Oryctolagus cuniculus: one gene and its partner. The protein of the gene in region 1 purifies or fractionates together with the protein of each later gene. This does not show direct contact. Links are inferred from orthologs where the notes say so. Each region holds a gene or a part of one and is shown on either strand. Other genes may lie near its edges.

Region 1 (4,541 bases):
ATTATTGTGAAAGCGTGTTTACAAAGTTGGATTTGCTTGGCAGGAGAGGAAAACCTGTTAGAAGACACAGCTGCTTTTAAAATGGATGATCTGACACCTTCCGGTTACTTAACATAAAATCATAAAGTAAGTTCCTTTTAAGAGACGAAACGTAAACACAATGCAAGAATTCCAGTGCTTCCAAAAAAAAAAAAAAATATCAGGTCCCGGTCACGCTTTATTGGGAAACACTTTTCAATGCCACACAGTATATAATGTGGTCGAAGAGTAGCCAACGGCACCGGCCGTGAGTTACCGAAGATGTTTGCAGCTACATTGCGATACCTTCTCTATTCACAACACATTTTCCTGCCGCCGAGAACACCGAGTCATTAAAGATCCCAGTGCCTGTTCCCGCGCTGCGTAGGATTTCATTCACTTTAAAGACGAGCGTTTTCCATCTCTCCCCTGGACTGTCTGCTACGAGCCCATCCCAGGGCTCCGGTGCACCCGAAAGACCCTCGCAGGCTCCCCGCCCGAGGCCCTCCCCCACTCCCACCATTGTGCTCGCCCCAGGCCGGCGAGAGGCGCAGGGCTCGCCCCGCCGAAGGCGCGCACCGAGGCGGCAGGGAGCGGCTCGGGCCATTTTGCAAGTGAGGCTGCCACCCAGGACTGGCGCGGGGCGGTCTTCCCCCGCACGGCTCCCAAGTTCTCCAACTGAAATCGTCTCCATAAAAGTGCCAACCCGCCTCGCCGCCCCGAGATCGCGGTGGGGGGGGGGGGTCTCCCGCAGGCCGCCCCTCCCCCACCGGCGGCCGGGCCCGCCCCCGGCCTCATTTATCCCGGAGCCTTTTCCGAGCCGCGCAGCCAATGGCAATCGCGAAGCCGAGAGCCACCGCGAGCGCAGGCGGAGGAGGTGTCGCGCAGACGCCCGCCCCGGACGCCGCGCCCCTCCCCCGCCGGCTCCGGGGGCGCGGGGCTCGGCCCCCCGCCCCTCGCCGCGTCCGGTCCCCGCCGCCGGGGGGCGGGGCGGGGTGGGGACAGGCCCCGGCCCGCACCTCCGGCGTCTTCCAGGCAGCCAGGCGAGTTGGGGACGGTGACTCTCGGCCTTGGTCGTTCATCACCTATTTGCAAAAAAAAAAAAAAAAAAAAAAAGGAAAAAAATCGAATAATTAAAAACTGCGGTTCCGAGAGCCGGGGAACTGCCCAGCAAGCAACCCCAACCCCTGCACCCTGGAAAATAAAATCAATGCCCCGGCCTCCCCCCACCCCTCGCTCCCGCCCCGCCGGCCCCCGGGCAAACTCGGCGGCGCCCCCCGTCCCCCGCCACCCCGGCCGCGCCCCTCCCCCACGCCGCCCCGCCCCCACCCCACCCCCACCCCCACCCCCACCCCCACCGCCTCTCGCTCTCTGCCTCCTCTCCTCCGAAACCCACTCTAATTGAGGCGCCGGGATTCCTCACGTGAGACGTTGATTTGTAGCTTGAACACGTGGCTCATTCAAAAAGCCGGGCCCTCGCCGTGGATTCCTGCGCCCGCCCGCGCCCCTCCCGCGTGCCCGCCGCGCTGCGGGGGCCTGGTGGGGCGGCGCTGCGCCGGGCCCCGCGCCGGGCGCTATTTTCGCCGCGCGGCGGGGCCGGGCCGGGCCGGGGGTGGGGGGGGCGCCAAGTAGTTTCCTCCCCCGCCCCTCCCCCCGCGCGGGCTGGTCCCGCCTCCGCCTCTGCCTCCTCCTCCTCCTCCTCCTCCTCGGAGTTGGGAAGACTCGTGGATGCGCCCGGGCTGGGGCTGGGCTTTCTCTCTCCTCGCTCTCGGTTGCAGCGCCCGGGAAGGGGCACCCCGCGCCCCCCGGACCCGGGCTCGGCGCGCGCGGACCTGCGGGACCTGGCCCTCGCCGCTGCCGTGTTTTTCATTTTTTCGTCCCCCCACCCCACCCCGCGCTGTGTTCCTGTTTCCGAGCCGCCCCCTTTCGCGATGAACAAACTGTACATCGGGAACCTGGGCGAGGACGCGGCGCCCGCGGACCTCGAAAGTATCTTCAAGGACGCCCAGATCCCGGTGTCGGGGCCCTTCCTGGTGAAGGCGGGCTACGCCTTCGTGGACTGCCCGGACGACGGCTGGGCCCTCAAGGCCATCGAGGCGCTCTCAGGTGGGCCCCGGCCTGGCCGCCGCGCCCGGAGGCGCCACGGGACCCCAGGCCGGGCACTCAGCGCGCGGCGCGGGGGTCCAAGGGCCCGGGCCGGACGCGCTGTCAAGAAAGCCCCGCGCGGGCACGGAGGGGCGCGGGGCCGCGGCGGGCGCGCGCTCCAGGCCCCGCCACGCCGGGCCCGGGCCGGGCGCGGGCGCCTGCTCGCCCTGCTGCTCCCTGCGGGCTAACCTCTGCTCGCTAACTCGTGGCCTGGACCCGGCTGCCTCTCGGCCTAAGGGAGCGCACGGTATCCCGGACACGGGCTGCCTAGGGAGGCCGCGGGGCTGGTGCCTTGCACGGGCGGTCCCGCGCCGCCCCGGCTCCACCTCGCCCCGTCCGACGCGCGCCGGGGGCAGGTGGGCTCGGGCGGCGGCGGCCTCCGGGACTGGCGGGGCGCGCGCGCTGGTCCGGGGCGCGCGGGGCGACGAGGCCTGGGGCGGCAAGGTTGCGCTGGTTCCCTCCGAGAGCCCTGAGTCTTAGGGCTTCTCCTCCTACCGACTCAGCCTGGCTGTGGGCGCTCGGCTCGCCCTGTGCTCGGCCGCACGTCCGGCCGGCCCCGGCTCCGGCGCCAACGGTTCCCGGAGGGCCTGGGCTGGGACCAGAGAACAGGACTGGGCGCCCTCTCCCCCGAGTCGGCCCTGTGGGGGAGGGTCCTGGAGAGGCCGGAGAGACCCGGTGCCTGGCTGCCACCCGAGGGGCCCCCACTTCCCGAGGGGCCCGCTGCCCACCAGCGTAGCGGCGGCGCCGAGGCCTCGGGGCGGCCGGTGGCGCCGCCCAGGGTGTGTGGGGCTCGGGGCTCCGGCGACCCGACAGTCTCATGTCTCGTGTGTCCGCAGGTAAAACGGAACTGCACGGGAAGCCCATCGAAGTTGAGCACTCGGTCCCAAAACGGCAGAGGTGAGCGTCTTTATTCTTTTCTCGCCCCATTGTTGGGAGCCCAGACTCCACCGAGCGCAAACCCTTTCCCCGCACCCCGCCCCGGGCTCTTGGCCATTGTGCTGGCGAGGAAGGGGGTCTCTCGGAGGACGCTCTGGGCATAGCAGGTCTAGGTGGTGCCGCAGGGCGCGGGAGGCTGCGGCCGGCCCAGGTGCGGTGGGCCTGCCCGGGAGCCGGGGCGCGAGGCCGGAGCTCGCCCCTACCCTGCTGGCGCGCCGGCCGCGCTTGGGTCCCGTCCCGAAGCCTGGGCTTCCCGGCCCAGCGGAGCCTCTCTCGGCCCCTCCAGACTCACACAGGTCTTTGCCGACCGTGCCTTTGTCTCCCTCTGCGCCCCCACGCCCCCTGCCCCCTTTTTCCTGGGTCTCTCTTTGCTTTCAGCTGAGCCCCAGGGTGGTGAGACGGGGAGGTGGGTGCTAGCTCTGCAGGAGGATTTCTCCGAGAACGTGCGTAGCGTGCCTTTTTTGGGGCAGCGTTGTGCAGACTCCTCGAGCCTCTGAAGTGTTTTCCAGACCAGGCCGGATCGGGCTCTGTAATCCTGTGTGTGGCGCTGGGTTCTTGCAGGGTGGCCCTGGGGCTCCTGCTTCCCACCGCCCCACTCCTTGCCGGGGCCTGACAAGGAGCTCCAGGCTGCCGCGCCCCGGGGCCTGCGTACGTGCGGCCTGGCGTCGGGGAGAGCGAGCTGGGGGCCGCACGGTTCGCTGTGCGGACGCGCGCCGGCGTCCGGCCGCCCCTGCTTCTACAACCAGCTGCCTTCCGGGTAAAGCGTTTGCAAACTGAGTCTCGTTTCTAGGAATGAGTCGGCTTGGTTTTACGTGGAGGTCTCTGGTTTTAGGCGCTGAATTTTCGTTAGGATACGTAGGAAAGGGAGTAACCGATTAGATTTAGTTGTAGTTGGGAATTATGTTTAATTACATGAAATTATTTTTAAAAACCTGTAAAATAATAGAATTTGTACTGAAAAGTCTCAGTTGATGTTAATTGAACGGGACTTGAAGAAAGGAGAAGTCTTATCCCTCTAAAAAGAAATGTATACGTCTAGCATGTGAATTGTGAACCTAAATACACACACACACACACACCTCTACACCTGCAAATTCTAAATGATTTCAGAGTTTAAGCACTGTCTTAGTTTTCATCAAATGTTGAATTAAAAGTAAGAAAATGGTAATGCTTTAAGGACTGGCATTTTAACAGTGGAGAGTTTTAAATGTAAATACTTAGTGTCTTGTTTTCAGGTAGATTGGATTAACCTACATGCAAATATATGATGGCTTCACCCTCTTGCTTTTTGTTTCCAACTGTTGTGAATTTCTTCTCACTTGTAGGGGATTGAGAAACATCTTCTGGTAACAACTGCTTGTTTTAAAGGTTTTTTTTTTTGCCTAGCCCTGAACATGCTTGTTACTTTGTAATGGGCGGTAGTTCCTCTTAGCACATTAGAT
Region 2 (4,365 bases), on another chromosome or scaffold:
CCAAAGAGGAGAATAAAAACCCTTAGAAAAAAACAGGTACTAGGTCCCAGCTGAAGGCCCATTCTCACCTCCGCCACCCCCTCCACCACCTCCGCTGCTACTGTTGTACTGGTTCTGCTGTCCGTAGCCCTGAGGGGGATTATAGGAGCTTTGCTGCTGTCCATAGCTTTGCTGTTGTCCGCCATAGCCAGACTGCTGGCCATAGCCCCCACTCTGGGGCTGCCCATAGCTGCTGCTCTGAGAACTGCCGCCGTAACTACGGGAAACACACAGGCAAATCAGAACCCCGGCATGCCCACAACTTCCTTTCACTTTCAGCACATCCCCTCCTCCCTACCAACACAGGCCTCCCTTCCCCCACCACACACTGCGCCTCCTAATGGCTCCTAGTGCTCTGCCTTCTTTCCTTAGCAATTCACCCCTCATCTTGCGGGCACACAAACACCTTACCTGCCGGAGGTGTTGCTGGGAGCTGGCTGCTGTCCATAGCCAGGGTACGAAGACTGCTGCCCATAGGATGATTGAGAACTCTGGCTGCTGCCATAGCCGCCAGTTGAGCCATACCCCTGGGGAGCTGACTGAGCGCCATAGCCTGCTACGAAGAAAAACAAAGCAAGGGAGTCACGAGAGCTATGAAGAAACAAAGGCATGGGAAGGGTTGAAAAAAAAAAAAAAAAAACATACTCTACCTATGTTCATCCATACCTCTTAGCAACTGCTAGTAAATCCTGCAACTCCCAGCCAGGGAAAGGACATTCTTCTGAACTCTAAGGTTAATGTTCTAACTCCTACTGACTTTTTAAAGACAGTTCCAATTTTATTCCACCTATCCTAAAGCCAGTCTCCAAGACTGGAATCTTATTCAAAATATCCCTCTGTGTCAACCACGTTTTAATATGCTGGTATGAGTACACCATACACAAGAAAACCCACATGAATTATTTTCACTTCAGAACTCGGGGGCAAATTCCTTCTCCTGGCGTATCCCGTGATGCCCAGTAATGGGACTTCAGACAAGAAGACCATTTTCTCCACTAAGAATCAGCCTAAGACTGGCACTCTCTTTAGGGAGTATGCCCTCATGCTTAGCAGGGAAACAGAGAAAAGGTACAGCATAAACAAAAAGTCAAAGGAAAAAAGGAAACGATTAAAAGCAAGGAAGGAAGCATTTTCACTGGAAAAGACTGCAGACTCCAAGAAGTTTTAGGGTTAAAGGGGAAAAAACATGAGAGATTCACCACTTCAGCACTGCTTAGGGTTTCAAGGCAGAGTGACCCCCCCGCCCAAGACAGACTCACTGTTCTGGGTCTGTCCGTAAGAAGAACCGTAGCTGCTCTGGCCATAGCCTGAAGTGTCTGCTGACTGCCCGTAGCTGCTGTAACTCTGCTGTCCGTAGGGCTGATTGCTCTGCTGGGAGTAGCCCTGCCCAGGCTGGGTGGGGTAGGCCCCGTAGCTGCAGGGGAAAAAGAAAAAAGAAGAAAAAGGGTGCAGTCAAGAAAATGACCTCAACCACCCTTGCCCGCTAGGAATTCTAGAAGCCCAGACACGGCACTCACCTTTGGGTTGCTTGCTGGGTATAGTCTGATGAAGAGAAAAGACAATCAACGTTAGGGTCAAGAAAGGGGTTGCCAGGTCTATTCCTTAACCCAAGAACTGGGGCATCGGAGCCAGGAAACCCACCAGCCTACTGCTGCCCTGCTGGCCACCAACGCCCCACCAGACTCTTTCTCAATGCAAACTCCACTCGCTTGAGGAACTGCTAGAAAACCTGTCCCATCCCTGTCCCGGTCACACCCACTCCATGACAAAGGCCACGGAGTTCCTAAGTGGGCACCAAAAAACAATAGCCATTCTCCGCCCCTTGGCCAATCTTGGGAGAAAAAGCAGAGGGGAGTCTTAAAGCAAAGCCAAGCAACCAAAAAGCAGAGGTCCTGTGACGCCAAACGACAAGGCCCCTCATCAATTCGATCAGTGCTCAAGTCCCCAGGCCTGGGGCTCCAACAGGCTCTCATCGACTCCTGCCGACTTCTCAGACAGGAGGAGCCGCCGCAACCCAAAAGGTACCGAAAAGCGCTTTTAGGACGTCACATTCGAGACGCAGCAGCGAGATCAACTCCTGCCCTCAGTCCAGGAACCCAGGCGCTTCCCGCCGCAGGAAACGGCAAAGGGATCGGGGAAGGGTGTGGCCTCGGACGCCCGTTCCCAATTCGGGGAAAAAGAAAATTTAGGCGGGAAAACCCTCGGACTCGGCCCCCGAGACCGTTGGCGGATCTCCCCGACGCCCCCCTCAACCGTTAGGCCGGGCGCGCGGCCCCGATCCCGAGCATCCGCCCCCGGCCGCGTGGCAACCGAGGCGGGAACGCGGCGGTCCCGCCCCTTCCCGTGGGACCCTGAGGGGCGAGGCCCACGCCGGAGGCGGGCCGCCGAGTCCGCTACCGAGGGTCTCGCGACAAAAAGCCGGCCTGACACGAGGCTGGGAAGGGAGGATCGGCGCCGCGAGCACGGGGGAGGGGCCCGCAAGGCGCGTGCGCGCACCGAGTGCCCGGATGCAGCACTGCGACAAAGCGGGCCCGAGCGCGGCGTGGAGGGGGTGGGGGGGCCCGGGAACCTGGGCATTTCCGCCCGCTACCACAGACTCGAACTCGCTGAAAAGCGTCCTCCCCCCACCTCATCCAAGGGAACGGAGGGAAGACTTCCCGCCCCGCACGAAACGCGCCAGAGGAGCAAAACAAAATGGCGACAACAGCCTCCCGCCCCCCCTTCCGCCCCTCTCCGCGGGCTTCCCGCCACAGGGGTTCGAAAATATCCTACACGCGATCGCCGCCCTGGCCCCACTGAAAAAAATCAAAAGCCCAGCTAGGAGAGAGCAAGCCAGGCCCTCCGGAGCGGCGCGCCACCGCTGCCTCGCGCCCTTACATACCGTTTGAGGCCATCTCCGCGCACGCGCGCACAGGCCGCCAAGCAACAAGATTCCGACACCTCGGAACACCGACGCCTAGAGGACTGAGCAGCCCCGCCTCCTGCGTCGAGGCTTATGTACGCCTCCCCGCCCACGTACCGCGGGGGGACGTACCAACCGCCGAAAACGAAGGGGGGAAGCAGGGCCGGACTCCTACCACCTTCCGGGGAGGGTCGAGGGTCCCAGCAGAAAGAAGGAAAAAAACTAACTAATACATATAAGAGAATATATATCATCATGTTTTCTCTGATCAATAGCTCACCTTCGCTCTGCAGGCCTAGCCTACGATTCTTCTCTACCCCTATAAGAGAGACATGGTACGGTCTGATTACGTTAGAGGCGGGGCCGAGGCCCCGGGCGTCTGCGGAAGGAACCGTAGTCAAGGCCGGGAGTCGAGGTGTGGGAACCGAGATTCCTCTGGTTGGCCCCTCTCGCCCGGGCCTCACTTTGACTCGGGATGGCGAGCCCCTCCTCCGCTGCCTTTCTGCCGCATAGGGCGCCACCCTCCTGTCTGCGAGCTGTAGCGTTGCTCCCTCAGCCATCGCAGCGACCCTCTCCTTCCCTGCGTCTCGGCTTTCGCTTCAGCGTCTTGAGGGTGCCTCTGCGTTAGTCCTCAGTGGGGTTTATAGATTGTGACATCTGACCGGAAAGCAAGCATGGAGTTGAGCCTGGATCTCTGGGCCCTCATGCAGCGCGGAGCGATCGGCAGAACCCTCGTGGCTCTGCCCCTGGAGGACCGTGGGGCGGGAAAGCCCGGGCCCCCCTCCGACCCCAGCTAGCCTTGCCGTTATCAGATTACGGGTCCCCCCTCCCCGCCCCTTTCCCGACGACGACCTACACTCTTCATTCTGAGCCCTTCCGCGGAACCCGCGTGGAGATACTGGGGATAATGCATTGGCATACGACTTCAGTAGTTTCATGCGCAGTTTTACATCCTTCTCATCAAAAACCGGTGAAGAAAGTAAAAAAGGCATCTCCATTGTAGAGACGAGAAAAGCGAAGCTCCTGGGAGAGCCTGCGCAATCCGTGTTTGTACAGGCAGCTGAGCGAGGGGCAGTGATTCGAATCCAGGTCCAGGTCACTACACCACTAGGTCTTTGTTGGTTACCTGAACTATTTATAGAATTTTGAAAGCCTGTTCCGTTTCCTGTGAGAATGAAGGCGGGGGGGGGGGGGGGGCAAAATTCAAATTAACTTGCACCTTGCACTCTGATCAGCTTTGCCTAGGGAGGGGGATTTGAATCTTTTCCAACAAATCAGACAAAGATTATTCCTGGTACATGTGCGACTGTAGATTTTCCTTCCCAACCAAACTTTGCTCTGGGTTCCAGACATTTCTTTGTAGATTGAGCATCTAGACAGATAAGATACAGGGGTTCTGCTCTAGGCAAGCCCACAGACTTCGT

Evidence for each region.
Region 2: the proteins of IGF2BP3 (region 1) and FUS purify together in Homo sapiens (affinity purification with mass spectrometry; 3 studies listed by BioGRID and IntAct, with this or other methods). This does not show direct contact. The link is inferred for Oryctolagus cuniculus from reciprocal best matches to the Homo sapiens genes IGF2BP3 and FUS.

The regions. Positions count from the first base shown.
Region 1 is NC_091447.1:15,444,499-15,449,039, reverse strand, and holds the start of IGF2BP3 (insulin-like growth factor 2 mRNA-binding protein 3), read left to right. Parts: upstream 1-1,717; 5' UTR 1,718-1,949; coding exon 1,950-2,124; intron 2,125-2,348; exon of another isoform or gene 2,349-2,519; intron 2,520-2,999; coding exon 3,000-3,060; intron 3,061-4,541. UniProt on the Homo sapiens protein: RNA-binding factor that may recruit target transcripts to cytoplasmic protein-RNA complexes (mRNPs). This transcript 'caging' into mRNPs allows mRNA transport and transient storage.
Region 2 is NC_091450.1:6,013,546-6,017,910, forward strand, and holds the start of FUS (RNA-binding protein FUS), read right to left. Parts: upstream 3,036-4,365; 5' UTR 2,934-3,035; coding exon 2,921-2,933; intron 1,582-2,920; coding exon 1,557-1,581; intron 1,454-1,556; coding exon 1,299-1,453; intron 596-1,298; coding exon 451-595; intron 257-450; coding exon 69-256; intron 1-68. UniProt on the Homo sapiens protein: DNA/RNA-binding protein that plays a role in various cellular processes such as transcription regulation, RNA splicing, RNA transport, DNA repair and damage response. Binds to ssRNA containing the consensus sequence 5'-AGGUAA-3'.